Linked DNA regions of Caenorhabditis elegans. The protein of the gene in region 2 interacts with the protein of the main gene of each other region in a pairwise test. Each region holds a gene or a part of one and is shown on either strand. Other genes may lie near its edges.

Region 1 (6,789 bases), on a different chromosome or scaffold from region 2:
AAAAATTTGGCGAACTTCCTGATGGTACTACCTGACCGAAAACCATCTTAAGAATGCGCCTACGCCTGCAAAAACCTGCTTACATGGACAATAATAATCGTCATCATACCAGCAACCATCGCCCATTTCCCCGAGAGCTTGGACACCACATATGGAGCAAAAAAGCAGCTAATTGTGTTGAAAAAGTAGATCAAACAAAGTGCCAGATACCCATCGCGATGTTCAATTCCACCACGTCCAGCTGTTGCCAACGCGGCGATCAGCGGTTCCATAATAAATTCATGGGCTAGGACAGCTGAGAACAGGATCACAATGGAGATGGAGAGCCGGAGCACATTTGTGGTCTCAGTGGAGATCTTCATTTTGATTTCAAGCACCTGATATTGAAATGTTTTATAAAATGGAAAAGTTAAACGTCACACAAAAACTGAAACCTTTTTAATATAAACTTTTCCTTTTGAATGGGGTTTTAAAAATGTTTTTATTGTTCAAAGAATCGGAGAACAAAAGGGAAAACAATTAGGAACGTTTAAGACAAAAAATTATGGAAAAAAATCTGACAATGAATGAAAGAAAAATTCCAGAAAAAAGTTACAAAACTGTTTGAACTGTAAATTCCAAACAGTTTCCCACAACTGACAATATTTGCATATCATAGAACCCCAAAAGGTTCAAATGTTTACATTTTGGAAGAAAATTGAAAAATTGTGAAAAAAGGCCAGGAGACTCTATTTTCAGGCTAGACAGGCACACCATGCCTACCTGCCTACGCCTGCTTTCCTGCCTACATATCATGCCTGTTTGCCAACGACGTGCCTTTCGTTGCTGGCTGCAGCCTACTTTTTTTTGTGCTGGCGTAGGTCGCTTGTGAAGCAGAAATGTTACTCAAGTCTACACACTCCAATAATTGTGGAATTTTTTTACTTGAAAAAAAAGAAGAAAAGAGGAAAAAATACACTAAAGGTAATACCAAAGAAGTTTCAAAAGAATGTGTTCTTCTAGTTAAACATTGCATTTTTTTTTGTCCGCCGAGAATTGACACGCAATATATAGTGCTGGAATATGGGTGGGGTCTGATGTAAAGTTTTGAACATTATTTATTACTTTTAATAAAGGTATCTGGAAAATACTGGTGATAAAAATAGTGTTGAAATATGGAAACAGATGGGAAAAGTCTATGAACGGATCAAATAATTAGTGTTGTTATTAATTGAAGAGTCAGAAAAAATTCAATAAATATTGTTTAAAAAAATTGTTTCGCTTTTTGTAGTATCACAGGGCGGAAATATGTACGGTTAAAGTAACTATTTTGGCGTCGTGACTCTCAATCACAGAACATAACTGTAAAAAAACGTATAAAAAATAGGGATTAACATTCCGGACGCTACGTGGAAAATTTCATATTTGTGAAACAAGCAACATTTTTTTCCAAAATTGGTCAAATATTGCAGACACCGTACAGGTTGTAGTGTCAGAATATAGGTGGAGTCTGATAAAGTTTCGAGTATTATTTATTAATATCAATTATGTCAAAGTATTATTCAGAAAATGCAAAAAAAAATCAATTTAAATCAGTAATTTTTCTTTCCGTTTTCTCCGAAGACTCTATCGTTGATCCGCTCTCACTGATTTGAATTTTTATTGGCTCAGATTCGATGGCAGGGTGGATTTTTGTGTTTTCTGAAATATTAAGGTTGTAGGCAGGCTGTAGGTAGGTAGGCAGATAGGTAGGCAAGCCGCTAGGTTGTCAAAAAATAAAACAAACCTTGAAAGAAATGCCGTGTCTTGTGGAAATATAGCTTTTGAGCCATGACTGCTGCGATGGCTGATAGAATGGCAAAAGCTCCATAAAGTAGAAGATGACCGGCCAAGGTAAAGTATTTTGATACGAAGAAAGCTATTGTGGAGGATATGGCCTGAAATTTAGTATATATGAGCCTAGACAGACCCTTCAAGTTGAAACTTACACTGTAGAACTTGAATAGAGCAAATGCGTGAGACGATTCTTCAGAGTACCCGTCACAGAGGAACGAGTAGACTTGAGTCTGAATAATTGCATCGCCGAAACCAAGAAGCCCAGAGCAGAATATTGCAATGTAGGCACTGAAAAATCCATAATTGTTCAACTTAAAAATTCCCAAAAAATACAAACTTTGGCTCAAAAATCCCAACATTCTGTGTAGGACGTAGTGGTGCATCATATGGGAAGAACAGATAAATCAATACAAAACATATCAAATGAAGTACACAAGCAATCACTACAATCATATCTTTTCCGAGTATTCTGACACGTTTTCCGAGTACTGAAAATATTCCACCAGCTACAATTTGCCCAATCCCGGTTGCAATTCCACTAATTGCTAGAAGTTTTGTGGTGTTTTCTCCGAGTTTGGAGGTGAATTTGATGCAGGTCGGGTAGATTGCTGTAAGGTTTGAGATGAAGTAGGTCGGGTAGATTGCTGTAAGGTTTGAGATGAAGCCTATGTGCCTGCCTACCAATCCAAAACGACCTGGAGAACCCGGTGTACAAGAAAATAAACGCTAGCAGGAGCATCGGAGTTTGACGGATTAACCGGAATGTTACTTCTGCAAATCACTAACGTAAAAGTAACGTAAAACTCAAAAAGTTTGGACCAACTCAATGTTCCGGCTAATGTAACTGCTTCCCTCTTCTCTGGTACATACGCCGGCGCTGGAAGGAATGCAGTATTGACTGCAGCAACTACCGAGATGGAACAGAACACGTAGACAAAGATTTTGAACTTAAAATTTGAATATTCAGTATAGATTTTTAACTGAAAAATTTACATCTCCACTTAGCACCAGCTCGTGCATAGTTTGATCCTGGAACATGAAGTAAAGGAAGACCCCGCCGCCTAGGAGGCTGAAATTATATAATTTGTTAGATGTTAGGCTAAGTAAAACATACCTGAATTTGAAAATGAGCCACATTAGAGCAGTGTTGCGTTCGATAGTCTCACTTGTGCAATTTTCCGTGAGGTACTTTCCTTGACCAACCCAAAGGACTGAAATTTCTTTGTCAGCCTATATCTCAATTCTCCTTTTTTATATCAAAAAGTTCTCAACTGAGAAAATATTCAAAATTTCTTTTTCTATAGTTCCATAGTTGAAAATGTTTTGATATCTCCAAAATGAACCGAGATATTTACTACCAAAGTAAAGTACTTCAGCCAAAACTTCAAAAAACTCACAAGCTGCTCCAATTCCCAAAAGAGCCGATGTGGTGTACAGGTATGCACTGTTCAATTCAAGAAATCCCAACTGAAATGCAATGTACGTGAAGAATCCAACAACCATCGACCATTTCGCAGTTATCAAGTCAACCACTGGAGCAATCAGTAGGCAGGCAATGGTGAAGAAGAAGTAGAGAATCGCGAAACTGAAAATAAGCAATTTGAAATCATGTTGACCCTATTCATAGAGCTTGTTGATATTTCTACAAATTGTGACCCGTTATGATCTCTGGTGTTAGTATTGTTTTGATAATCAGATTAAAACCGTAGACTTCCCAATTACTATAAAAACGAGATGACCGATAGATTATGCAAATGTTCAAATTTCTAGAGTTGAAAATATGTTTGCATTGAACTTTTTGGTATTAAAATATTTTAAGTAGGCAGGCGAGTAGGTAGGCAGGCAAGTGATAGGCAAACCTGCCAAAATGCCTGCCTACGTACACACGAACCTATTATGTTTGAACTTTGAACTAAAATTGAAAAGAAAAACCAAAAGAACAATTTTTCTGCAACTGCTTTTTTACCAAAAAAAAAGTGAGTGAGTTTTGGAGATTATCCCCTGAGATTTTCGCAGTTTCACAAAAATTGTTTATGAACATTGCTTCTTTGATTTTGCAACGTTTGAAGCAAACATACAGTACAAAACTCGTACGCTGACTCCCGCTGACGCCCGCTGACGCCTGCTGACGCCTGCTCACAACTTACCTATGATATCCGGCATGAGGATCAATATTTCCTCCTCTTCGGTGCTCTTCTTCTATTAACGGCTCCTGTATAAACTCTTGACTCATATATGCAAAAAACAAAAGCATAAAAGAAACTGATAGTCGTATCACATTTTTTGTTCCCGTATCCAGAAGCACCATCTGGAAATTTCAAGTTTTTTTTGCTATTAATTTTCGGAAATATTTAACATTTATCAAAATGATAAATAAAACATTTCCAAACTCAAAAACAATTGTGAAAGGCGATCACAAAAATGATGGGAAAAGAGAGAAAATTGAACAACGAGGAACAAAACGAATAATGTGGGTGGCAAAGGAGAAACGGAAAATTGAAAAAAAAAAGGCGGGGTTTGTGATTTTTTTGGGATTATTAAGGATTTTCTAAAGGAAAAAATGAACATGAACTCGTAAATTATAATTGGCATTTGGGTTAGGGTTTGGAACTTTGACTTCTGTAATTTTCAGATTAAAAACTACATATTTGAATCGGTAAAAGTCTAAACTTTTTTTAAGAATTTGAGACCAAATTTAAGAAAAAAAAATTCTCGAAGAACGTTACACTTAAATACAGCGTGCCCCGACCTGCATCAAATCCCTACGTGCCTACCTGAGTTCTAAATTTTTCGGTTAATTTTTAACTTTAGACTGAAAAAATCATAAAATTTGCATCGACGTTTATTTTAAAAAAATGAGAAACAAATAGAAAAATAGGATTGTTGAAAATATTTTTTAAAGGTTGTTATAATGAAACATATATTAAAAGAAATCAATTTCTGACCCAAATATTCAACAAAAAAAAACAATCTTTAAAATGATGATATGATAAGGTGACAGTGAAAGTGATACACAATGTACAAACATATATGTACACACAGAAAAAGAAACGGGATAACAATAATAATAGAAAGTGAACATTATATGAATTTCGAATAACTATCCCCAATTTCATTCAATATTTTCCGCCTGAAACGAGACACAGAAGACCAGGGGGGCGGCCAAATGCCAAAACAATGATCATAAAACCATCAGAACGGACGGTTTAATGTGCGAAATAATATTGAGAATGAGACTTCCGATGGTCTTCTTTCTTTTTGTTCTTGCAATTCATTTTATTTTTGAAGAAATTTTGATCAAAGTTTGATATAATTTTCGGTCGAAAATCACATAACTGTGATATAAAAATTGTTTTCCATAAAATTATCTAGAAACACATTTTTTTGGAATTAAAATTCTAGTCGGAAAAATTTCAATTTGTTTGAAATATTTCAATAATCGGAAATTCTTATTTATTGTCTAGAGGTTTTTACAGCTTACAACTTGGTAAAAAAGTACCTGCCTGCCTACAACGCAGACCTCGCCTGACTAGAGTATACCTAGACTACAACTCAAAATCAATAATACCTAAAAATTTTGAAACTCTATTCAAACGGTTTTAACCAATTCTATCTATATAGTTTTTCTGCTTTTACGTCAAATTTTTGATGTATTTCATTTGTTCCAAAAAAAAATGCCCGCGGTTCTCAAAACTAATTAATTTTACAAGTTTTCCATTCAAAATTGATCAGGAAATGGAAAACTACTTGTCGATTTCGGTCTCACTGCTGCTGAACAAATACTAATGAATTGATTCAAAGGGAGCTAGAACAATATTTTCATTAAAATTTTAAACATTCCACTTTCACAAAAACTCCTGTTCTATGTAACAATATGTTTACCCGGAAGTTGTTGGCTACCTTCAAAAACTTCAAAAATGAGCATAAGCCGGGACTTTATTGTCTGTAAACGTTTTTAGGAATAATATTTTTGCGGTTTTTGATCATCAGGATCCTGAACTCTGTAAACCTTTCCTATAGTGCTAAAATGGTCAAAAATCATAGTAAAATTTTCCAAAAAAAATTTGAAATTTTTTTAAAATTTTGTTTCAAAAATGACCTGTCAATAAAAAATTTTTAAAACTTTAAACAAAAAAATTTTGTTACGACAGGTGGATGTTTAGCACCATAGGAATGGTTTTTAATCATTTCCTCACCGGCCGTACTGCACTCGTTTGCACTTATAATATCCAAAAGTATCTGAACACACATCTATAAAACCCCATACAAACTGCTGATATTTGTCATAGAAAACCGGTACCTGAACATAAAAGGAAATAGTATACGGGAATTTTAAAGTTCAACTCTTTTATAAACACAATAAAAAATGCCTCCTCTTGTGTTCCTGCAATACTTCAAAGGTGTAGACTCAACTCAAAGAAAGTTTGGAATTTCTTAAATTTCTGAATTCCAGTCACAAGAAACGAGAACTTCTAACCGTTTATCAACTTTTATTAAACTGAAAATTATCAACAAAAAAGAAGAAATGGGTGAAATTGGAAGCTCAGAGATAACGAATGGCAAAAAAATTAAATCAAATTGTTAAAAATGTTAAACTGCTAAATCTGCCGGAACAATCTTAAGAGTGCCGTATCCAAAGAGAGTTCCAGCAAGATTACGAGGATACCACTTGGCTGTTAGAACAACGTGTTTTTCGGGATTTTCCATCTGGATCCGTACGACTGTGTTGGTATGTTCGACTCTGTAAACTTAATTTTGTCAAGAAATTTTGTAAGGGCTTCTCAAAACTGCCACATCAGTTTTGACTATTTAAACATGAAAATACAACTGTGATTCCACGAATCAAACACAACCAGCACTGTAGGATTACTGTAGAGCTAGAAGAAAAAGTTGATGGCAGAACATGTAGTATTGGGGTACTGTCGAGCTACTGTGGCGGGACTGTAGGAGTAGCTTCAATGCCTCTTCAAAAGC
Region 2 (9,785 bases):
TAGAAAAATAATGATGATAAAATGACTCTGTATTTGGGCGTAATACACAGTACATCCGTAATGGTTAAATTTTTCTAATTTTTAAGTATATTTATTTTTGTTGCAAAAAATAAAAAAAGGTTTTCGATTTCAAAAAAAAAAAATTAAGTGACGAATGCTAAAATGCAAAATAGGCAGAATAAAAATCAGTTCCCACAAAGTCGTCATCCCTTAAAATATTAAAATTATAGTAATCGGATCACAACCAACTCCCGATCACCACGGAATTACCATACATTAACCTATCACTTTTTTTGAAAATCACACCCGGTCTCTTCCCCCCCCCCCCCCCCCCCCTCCTTTTTTCACAAAAAACGGGATCACTGGCAAATAGAGCAGCAGACAAAACAAGCACGGAGCTCTCACTTTATGAGTCATTCGGAAAACTTACGGAAAGTTCACATAGTTGTTGGCCTGTGACTCATGGTGGGAAGCAGTATAATTCTAAATGACGCGAAAAGTGTGATGTTATAAAATTTGGTAAGCTTCAGAGCATAATAATTGATAATCTGTGCAACTTCTACAAGTTTTACAGATTTTGACGATTCAGATCAAATTAAATTAATATTTTTGGTGGCCCAAATTTGATTCAAATTTTTCAGTAGTGACTGGGCTGGTGCAAACATTTTTTACAAATCTATTGTGTCTTGGAAATGTGCCCAAAAAATTGGTTGACAACACGCTTGCACATATAAAAACTGTGCTCTGCAACCCCTATAAAAATTTTTTAAATTTGTGATTTGGTCACTGCAAACACAAAATTGGTGATTGCGCTCATCAAGCTGGTCAGTGGCAACACAAAATTGGTCAGTGCACACATAACCGAAATTACAGTTGCAAATAATATTTCTTATTGAATAATCCAAAATTTTATTTTATTAAATAATACATAGAAGTGAGCAAAGTAGTAACCAGCAAAAAACACGATTCATATCCGAAATCTGCAAAAAGTTGTTCGTCTCGGAACGTTTCCAATTCCACAGGAGCTCTGCTTGGGCTCTTAACTGACAACCAGTTGGGAGATTCTGATTTTAGCCTGAGATCTGAAAAAAAACACTTACAAGTCTGAAAAATTTTTAGAAAACCCACCACGAGAAGTTTTAAGTGTTGTGCAACCTTTGAACAAATCCCCTTTGCAGTCTACAGCAATTGTTGGAACAGGGAATTTTAGAGACTTTGGGAAAGCTGAAAATTTGTCCGTGGGAATTTTCAGTCAAAATTGAAAAATAAACCTTTACTCGGCGGATGTAAATGTATCTTGATTTTTAGAAGATTCTTCATCTCAAATGTTGATAGGTAAAGCTTTTTCTTGATGGCAAAGAGCTGAACGTATGATTTTTTAATGAAAAAATTTCTAAAAAATGTTCATTGCTTACCATTTGTGAATTGGTTTTCTTTACCGGTAAAACTATAAAATCATAGCCAAACCTTGCACTTTGTAACCTGAAACTTATATAAACTATTAAAAATAATCAAATGTTTATAGTCTTACTCTCTTTCATCAACATAGACACCTTCCGGAATCTCGATTTTGTAGAGAATTCGGCATTGAGGAATTCTGGATTGAGTTTGAATGAATGCAGGTAGTTTCAGTTCTCTGTGAAGTCCATAACCGTTCACCTAAGTGTTAACTAGATTTATTACTGCAGTGGTTCTACTTCGATTATCACGAAAGTTCGAGAAGCACTGTTTCATTGCTTTACTTTGTAGATAGGCCCAAGTAAATTTTATACGGGGACCTTTCGAAAAATTAAAACAAATTAATGTTGAAATTATTGTCAAAAATTACAATAAAGAGGACAACTAAGCTGTACTCTCAAAGGATTTAGTAAAAAGGACTAAAAATAAGTTTGGAAAGTCTAATTCTATAAAATAGAGCACTGCATTAAAAATTTTTTTTTTTTGAAAAAGGAGCATTAATGTATAAAATGTTTGACACTTCTGATTGTTAAAAAAAGGTAAACGAAAAATAAAACCAGTGGAAAAATATTTTTAAAAGTATTTAACGTATATTAAAACACTTCACAACAACTTTGAAAAATATTTCTGATATATTTAATCATGTTTTTGAACATTTTTCCTGGTTTTGGTTAATTTTAAGTTTTATTTAAGACTTTTCTGTAACAATTCCTATTCTAATTTACCTTCATATCTCCATGGTTATCTTTTGCTAGCAAAATGCAACTTTGAACATTTACAATTAGTATTGCAAATAGCAGTGTGAATAAACCATCTTTGGCCACCATTTTCCCGATAATCAAGGTCCCTCCTCCGTTTGCCTTTAGGAGGAGGTGTCGTAAAGTGTGGTGCATTGTGTGCATGGCCACCGTGAACCGGTGTGCAGACCCGCGCACTCATCCTCTCTTTTTCTTTGTCTTTTCTTTTGTGTTACACCGATTTTTTTTGAAAACTGAATTTTAAATAAATTTTCTTGCTTAATTTTTCTTTTTTTTTTTCAGGTAAATGGCCGATATCATCGAGCGGATTCGGTCTCAGGACGAGTATCGGGAGTTTTATGAGTTGGCCACCAAAATTCGCAATCAAAAATTGCTTACGGACGCTGAGGTAGGAATTTTGAAGTTTTTAAAAGTGATTTCAAATACAAATTTCAATTTTTCAGCTCCACTCTCTGAACAGACACCAACAAGAAGTATCGGATAACGAAATTAAGTTGCTCACCGAGGCATGGAGAAGCTCCTACTGGAATGTAAGTGTTCTTGATGATTAGGATTCCCACTAAATATTGTTCAGAACGTTGGACGTCAGCTCAAAAACCAGGCACTCGAGCCAACAATTGCATGCAGGCTTCTCAAAGAGATTAGTGAAACTGAAGCTCTCCCAGCATACAAGTGAGTAAAGAAAAGCTGAGCTGCAACCGACATTTTCCGAGTTTTGCCAATAAATTGAATTTATATGAAGTGTAGTGAATGACAGAAATTATCGGTCGAGTTGCACCATGTCATAAAATATTGGATATGTCGATTTACGAACCTAAATTTTTTAATTAATACAATTTTCGATAACTGAAACTTAAATGAGCAAAATAATTTTCATGCCTAAAACCATGAAAACCAGAATGATCACTTTAACATATTGCCCGTAAACTCACATAAAATATGACTGGAAAATTTAAAAAGACCACTATTCCGAAAATGCCATACGAGCCAACATAACAATACAGGAAAAATGCAAATTAAAAAATTCAGGCACGTCGGGCATCACTTTTCCACTCTTGACCAATTGCTGACAATATTGTACAATGAGCCCCAGTCGGTCGCCGAACTATTGAATAGCATTGACAGAAATGATGTGAGTTTTTCCATTGTTTCAACACATTACCTATAATTTCCAGATTACATCAAACGACTCCACAATTCAAGTACTCTTCCACCTCGTCTACTCGTGCGCTCTGTACCCAGAGGATGAGCTCAAGATTGCACAAGTTGTGTGTAATCTTTTGAAGCTTCAACTATACAGATCTGGCAGTGAGATGAGGACAATTCTGCGGAAGGAAACTTCCATATCAACGAGATTCTACAAGCATTTTGTAGAACTAATACATCCGACAATGGTATATCTAACAAAAGCTTTGAGGAAAGGGGTTTTGGATGTTATTCAGTTGGGCAGCTTTTGGTTGGATATCGATGCAAAACAGGTAAATTTTATGATTCTGCACTGACCAAAACTAGGATGTGGAAAAGCTTATACAGTAACCACAGAATTCGGTTCAAAAATTGCACTGACCAAAATAGTGTTACTAGCTGTTAAAACAATTGTTAGTGTAGTATATGTCATCCACAAAATACTTAAAGTTTCATTTCAAGCTCTGTAGGCTTGAAAAGGCTTGACAATTTGTTTAAACAATTTCAATTTTAAAAACCTGGTTTTGGTTTAGCTGCTGGAAAAAAACTCACTTTCAAGAGAGCTTTTCATACGTCTATATTTTTCAGTCCACGGCTCGGTTCTTACGTGATAACAAGCAGAATGAGGATCGCCTACCCGAATACAGAGCTCTCGTTGTTTCCAAGCTAGTCGATTTTGTTGACACTTTTCTGGAAAGTGAGTTGTTTTCCGCCAAACAGAACAAATATAAAATTTTCAATGCATTTAGATATCTCGAAAGCTCTGCCAATGCTTCCACCAAATTTGAATTGGATCATTCGAGACATATTCTGCTCGCTGTACGAGGTGGTCGATGATGTGTCAGCTATTGAGCTGAGTCATGCTTGCAAGGATATGATTGTTTCAAACCTCATTTGCCCGGCAATCATCAGTCCGCAAAAGTTTGGAGTTGTGGATAATGATGTCAGAGTTGGGACAATTGTAAACCATAACTTGGTTCAAATCGCGATGATTATCCAAATGATTTCATTGAGGGAGTTTGAATCGCCGCCGGAAGAGTACAAAGAGTTTTTGAGCCAGTGTCGGGTGAGTTGTCTTTGGAATTGATACTGCTCTCAACTAGAAGCTTTTCAGAACACACATCTCATATCAGAAATGATGGATGCTTTACTTGTGGAGAAACTTGCTCCCGACGTTGAGATCACGTCGCTTATCGCGAACGGGACTGCTGAATCGGATATGGCTACGAAATCGAGTTTTGTTGGAACTGTGGCGGATGTTAACGTTTTGGTGAGTCATCCCTAATATCAAAATTTTATGAAAGTCTAGACAAACGCTCTTATTGTCAAGACCCAAAAGTGTTAGGCTCGAGGGACGTCAGTTTTAGAAATAGGCTAAAAAACAGTGATAGGAAAATCAGTGATGATGTTGGTTTCAGACAAAAAAGCTACTAGACTTAAGTCAAAAGATATCAGGCTATAGACCCAAATCCAAAATCTGTATGGCTATCTTAGTCAGCTAAAGTGTTGTATACCCTCCAAAATTTCACCAGGTGGTAGGATAAGCCTGGAGGTCTTCGAATATAGAAAAAAAGCGAAATTTCTAAATTTCAATTCCAGATTAAAATTATTCGTAATGCACCATCAACTTCTGACGCGAAGCTCTCAAGAATTTTATCAGTATGCGACAAGCTTCCCGCCACAATCAGCTCCACCACTCAAAAGTCACACTTTGACAACCTAGAGGCTTCACCAAAAATATCAACACTTCGTAATATTCATCGAAAAGGTATACACCCAAATGGGAACTTTTTTCATAACTGACACTTTTTTTCAGTTCAACACTCATTCAAACGAACCGGTGACTCTTTCAACGATATCAATGAGCTCGGAGCAAAACAGGGAGAAGCACTAGCTTTTGGAAAAGAGAACTTTGATTTGTTCTACTTAGAGTATAGCCCCAAAAACTACAAAGACGTTGCGGAAGCTGATCGTCTAAAAAAGAAGGCCGAGGAAAGGAGACAGTTGGCTGATTTGGAGAAGCTTCTGGAGCCAACTCCAGCACCGAAGGAGACTCCAGTGGAAAACAATCTTATTGACTTTTCGTCTGGTTCAGCTGAAACTAACAGCGAACATCTCAGTGACTCAACATCAGTGTCCCCCGAGCCTCTCACATCTACAGAAGAACTTCAGATTGGTGATCAAGGAGTTGGTGGCGAGCAACGAGGAAAACTTGCTAAACTGAAAAGTTTGAGCGATAGGATGAAGAAGGGTAAGAAGATTACTATTTTACTAAGTTGAGCTAATTTTTTTGGGAAGTACCAGGCAGAGCGGATTACCTGCGTAGTTAAAGTTCGAGTAGTGAAAGGACGCAGAAATTGAACTGTTGGAGAATTTCGGCATTTAGAAGAAATTACCATTTTCCGGCAATCTGTGATTGCTGAAATTCCACGCACCTCTGAAATACGTGGTTGAAAAACTGATTCTTAACATTTTAAAATGAACTTTAGTCCTCCCACTTTCAATTAGCTTTCAGTTCCATCCAGCGCGAATTCTCAAACATACATATTAGCTAGAGTTTTAGGAATCACACAATCCAACACCCTATCCGACATCCGTGAGCACCTCCGTCGTTCGGGATCATTTGTAAAACCACCTCCGTCAGGCATCCCCACTAGCAGCAGTGAGCAAAACCTACCAGACGTTGCTACAGGTCCACGTGACGATATTCTGGCTAAGTACGCGTCGATATCATCGATTAAAGAGCAAAAACCAGCGCTCGGGAATCTAATTGATGGCACTGCCTCTGCCTCATCGACTCCGAGAAAAGAGCCACTGGAGCCGTATTATTCGTCTGAAAATCTGGTTGGTTGTCGGTAAGTTTTTTAATTCATCTATATTATCCAGATTATGGTGTTTCAGGGCTTTTCAAGACACCCTTCGAAAAATGATCACAGTTCTCGGGAACATTTCCTACTTGCCAAGGATCGGGTATCGCAACGAGACAAAGCAAAATGAGTGGGACAAGAAAGTGCTGCTTGGGAGGTTTTTGGATGGAGTCCTCGTGGAAACTGAGCACAGGAGAGAGTACGGGCTTGCGGCTCAGTTGAGAGAAGTCAAGCGATGCATCGAACTCTTTGAGCACGCTGGGTAAGAGCGGGAATGAAACTATTCGAAAAACATTATTTCAAGCAGTGAAATACGCGATAGAAACAATCTTCATTTTTATAATGGATGACATTTTTCGAAGGTTCATACAGGCTTAAGCTTAGGCTTAGGCTTAGGATTAGGCTCAGGCTTCGGCTAAGACTGAGCCTTAGGCGAAAGCTTTGGCATAGGCTTAGATTTAGGTCAAGGCTTAAGCTTAGACTCTTTTCATACTAGCCAAATTCCATATCCTCAGTATTGATTTGTAGATGAGACCTTTAAAAATTTCAGCGTTGAAATCCTCATGGACCATTTGAAATTGAATGAAGCTGAGCAGGACAAAATCGTAAATGGAATGCGTGAGGAACGTGCTTCACTAATGAGAAAATCGAATGATATCTCTTCGTTGGAGCAAAGAGTTTTGTTGTAAGCATCCTTCCTTTATCTGTAAATTTTCATCGATTTTCATTATTTTAGAAACCGCCGGCTCACCGAGCAAATCCTCGTTGATTTCCTCATGCGCACTTTTCTGGAAACGGGCTTCAACAACAAGCACACAGTTGGCAAAACTCAGGAAGTGACGGCCGTGCTCAAGTTTTACGACGAATTCAAATACCTTCGAGCTCAGGATGAACGTGCCGAGTTTTTGAAGAATCTACTCACATTTTTGAGGGATCGCTTGATGCAAAACGTGGATTGGAATGTAAGGAAGCTAGTATAAAGAAGCTAGTAATTTATAAATGGTTTCAGTTTGCCACGGATACAATGATGTCGCGAGCCATGACAACCATCGAGCGTTATGTGATTTTTGCGGTTTATGATAACGCATTCTACCCGAATAGAGATGCGGATCATCACAGAGACAAGTGAGGATTTTTTGAGACTTGGGAGCTTTCAACAAGTGTAATAGCTAGAAACTGTGATGAAAAATTTGGCTTACTCTTGAAGCCATGCTCCAGAAATTTTGTGCAAAAATTGTGGCTTTTAAGCTTAAAATTGCTATTTAATATTAAGGGAGGGGGGCAGATAGCTCAGTCGGTAGTGGTGGCCGCTAGCAGTCTGGAGGTCACGAGTTCAATTTTGGCCTCACCCCCTAGGTTCACCCAGCCTCTATTGGGAAGTGGAGCAATCCACGACTGGATTAACGGCCACAGCCCCCGGCTAGGACGTGGCTTAAATTACAGCTCAGAGGGATCACCACCAGGCAGTGTACCTGAATCCCAGATCCGCAGTGCATAGCACTTGAAGAACGGATCGTCCTTTAATCCTTTTTTTAATCGAAAACCAAAACTTGAACAATAATTCATGTTATTTTCTCAGGTTGCTCCGTGGAACCATCGCCAAAGTTTCTGACGTAGTCACGCCGGTCAACGACTTTTTGAAAATTCCAGAAGTTTATTTTTTATTATTTGTTTTTTATTGAATTGAAAAAAATTGACTAACATATTGTACACAATAAAAATTGCAGCACCTCCACGGTGAAGCTCCCTGGCCGTCTGCTCAGGCGGAACTCTCAATGCTGGATATTTATGTGACTGCTCAGGACAAGCTCAACTGTGTGGTCCGATGCTGTGACGTCATCAACAACCTGGTGGCGTTGTCTTCGAAAAACGCGGTCGCATCCGCAGATGACCTCACACCGGTTCTAGTTTTTGTGATTATTAAGGTGAGAGAAGCAGTTGAAATTTCGTTTTTGTTTTGGAAAATATTTTAAATTTAATTTAAAATTTAGGCTTCACCGCTGCAGACTATAGTAATAACTAAAAAGCTGTCAGTTATACATATATCTAGTTAAAACATTTATGTAGTTGAACTTCTTTTTTTTAAATTTCGATATTAGCTTGAAGCTTTCAATTTTCATTTCCAGGCGAATCCACGTGCTCTTCTGTCTAACGTGCAATTTGTTGAAACCTTTGCCGGTGACCGCATCGAGTCGGGACGTGATGCTTACTACTGGGTCAACTTCAAGTCGGCTGTTGAATATATCAAGACAATTCTGTGATTGTATATTTTGAACCAAATTATTTTTTTTTGAATATATTTTATGGGAACACTTTCGTTCCGCAGCAAACTCAGTTTTTATTGTTATGTGTATACTTATTTATTACAGCTAATTGCGAAGAATGAATGTTTGTAGATGTTCTTTTGAAACTAATTTTAAAAAATAATATCACAATTTCAGTATTAGCGTAAAAAGCGTTAAAACTTTTTTTCATAGCTCTAGCACACGTGTAATTGTCTAACTTACCCGAGTATCATAATAACATTTCAACAATTCGTAGATTTTTGGAAAATTTTCAGTTGTGGCAAATCGCTAAGTTCTCCAGAAATGAAGCCTTTTTGAAAATTTTTGAGCATCACTGTAGAAAATATTTGTTGTCAAGCTTAGCTTGGTGCTTAAAAATCTGACTTTGTGCTTGCTTTACACCCTGCTCCACTTAAAACAATTTTTTTCTGTTGAAAAATTTTTTATGCAGCATGTGAAGGGTTTGGAAATTTTTCCCGGCTGGCGATATTTCACCTTCAAGCCCGGGAGCTTATCCCACTTTAAAAGATCAAACTTTAAATTTATGCTCTAAATTCAAGAGAAAATATGTTTCACTTCACTTTGGCCAAGAAACATATTTACTAATGCATAAATAACGTTTCCCCTTTTCCGTGGTGCCTCTCTCTCTCTCTCTCTCTTGTTGTATGCGCAGATCAATAACGTTCGCCCCGTTGCCCCAAAACCTCTGCGTCTCCCCAACCGTCAATACTGTTTCACTTCAAGAGACTCAGAGGTCGTTTGTATGTGCTGCTATCCTCAACAGCCCTCCCCTCATCTTTTCACAACCACCATCGTTCCTCGTTTTATGTATTTGTATCAAAGCGATCGAGATTTTGTGGACTCCGATAATCGGAATATTTATTTGATTATTTATTGATTTAATTGCTCAATTACATCTTTTTAAATATGATTTTTCAAGTGCAAAGGTGTTTTAAAACGCTTTTAGAATTCCAGTTGTTTGACACGTTAAAGTTTAATTTTCAGAGATGGAAGCTGAAACGTCAACTCAGGAAGTTGTGAAGCAGGTCAAAAATTTGCCAATTTTGATGGTAAGATTTCACTTTGCAAAAGTAAAAGTTGGTGAACAAGTAATTTTTGAAATTCAAAATAAATTAACTTCTGAATGGAAAACATTTCAAAAAACCACGCGGTTTTCCAACCAATTATATCAAATGTTTGATGCTCCATGCTCGTGAAAACATGAAGTTTAA

The links. Proteins that work in one complex are often made in the same cells at the same time.
Region 1: the proteins of rme-6 (region 2) and F31D5.2 interact in a two-hybrid assay, tested with the Caenorhabditis elegans proteins (one large-scale study listed by BioGRID).

The regions. Positions count from the first base shown.
Region 1 is NC_003280.10:4,212,952-4,219,740, reverse strand, and holds F31D5.2 (UNC93-like protein MFSD11), read right to left. Parts: upstream 4,124-6,789; coding exon 3,963-4,123; intron 3,401-3,962; coding exon 3,213-3,400; intron 3,027-3,212; coding exon 2,930-3,026; intron 2,885-2,929; coding exon 2,809-2,884; intron 2,763-2,808; coding exon 2,639-2,762; intron 2,587-2,638; coding exon 2,497-2,586; intron 2,424-2,496; coding exon 2,153-2,423; intron 2,104-2,152; coding exon 1,968-2,103; intron 1,917-1,967; coding exon 1,766-1,916; intron 1,681-1,765; coding exon 1,562-1,680; 3' UTR 1,500-1,561; downstream 1-1,499. Other genes in the region: F31D5.1 (UNC93-like protein MFSD11), read right to left, coding at 84-362; F31D5.7 (F-box domain-containing protein), read right to left, coding at 6,406-6,556.
Region 2 is NC_003284.9:1,094,654-1,104,438, forward strand, and holds rme-6 (Receptor-mediated endocytosis protein 6), read left to right. Parts: upstream 1-2,498; 5' UTR 2,499-2,502; coding exon 2,503-2,604; intron 2,605-2,657; exon of another isoform or gene 2,658-2,659; coding exon 2,660-2,746; intron 2,747-2,790; coding exon 2,791-2,888; intron 2,889-3,245; coding exon 3,246-3,348; intron 3,349-3,391; coding exon 3,392-3,694; intron 3,695-3,989; coding exon 3,990-4,098; intron 4,099-4,150; coding exon 4,151-4,467; intron 4,468-4,515; coding exon 4,516-4,671; intron 4,672-5,000; coding exon 5,001-5,169; intron 5,170-5,217; coding exon 5,218-5,652; intron 5,653-5,964; coding exon 5,965-6,256; intron 6,257-6,302; coding exon 6,303-6,530; intron 6,531-6,818; coding exon 6,819-6,953; intron 6,954-7,004; coding exon 7,005-7,230; intron 7,231-7,277; coding exon 7,278-7,393; intron 7,394-7,847; coding exon 7,848-7,920; intron 7,921-7,995; coding exon 7,996-8,193; intron 8,194-8,394; coding exon 8,395-8,529; 3' UTR 8,530-8,671; downstream 8,672-9,785. Other genes in the region: pigx-1 (Phosphatidylinositol-glycan biosynthesis class X protein), read right to left, coding at 910-1,082, 1,129-1,224, 1,272-1,362, 1,416-1,482, 1,532-1,659, 2,184-2,360; ife-4 (Eukaryotic translation initiation factor 4E-4), read left to right, coding at 9,561-9,623. UniProt on the Caenorhabditis elegans protein: Acts both as a GTPase-activating protein (GAP) and a guanine nucleotide exchange factor (GEF), and participates in endocytosis. Acts by regulating the activation of rab-5 by exchanging bound GDP for free GTP at clathrin coated pits.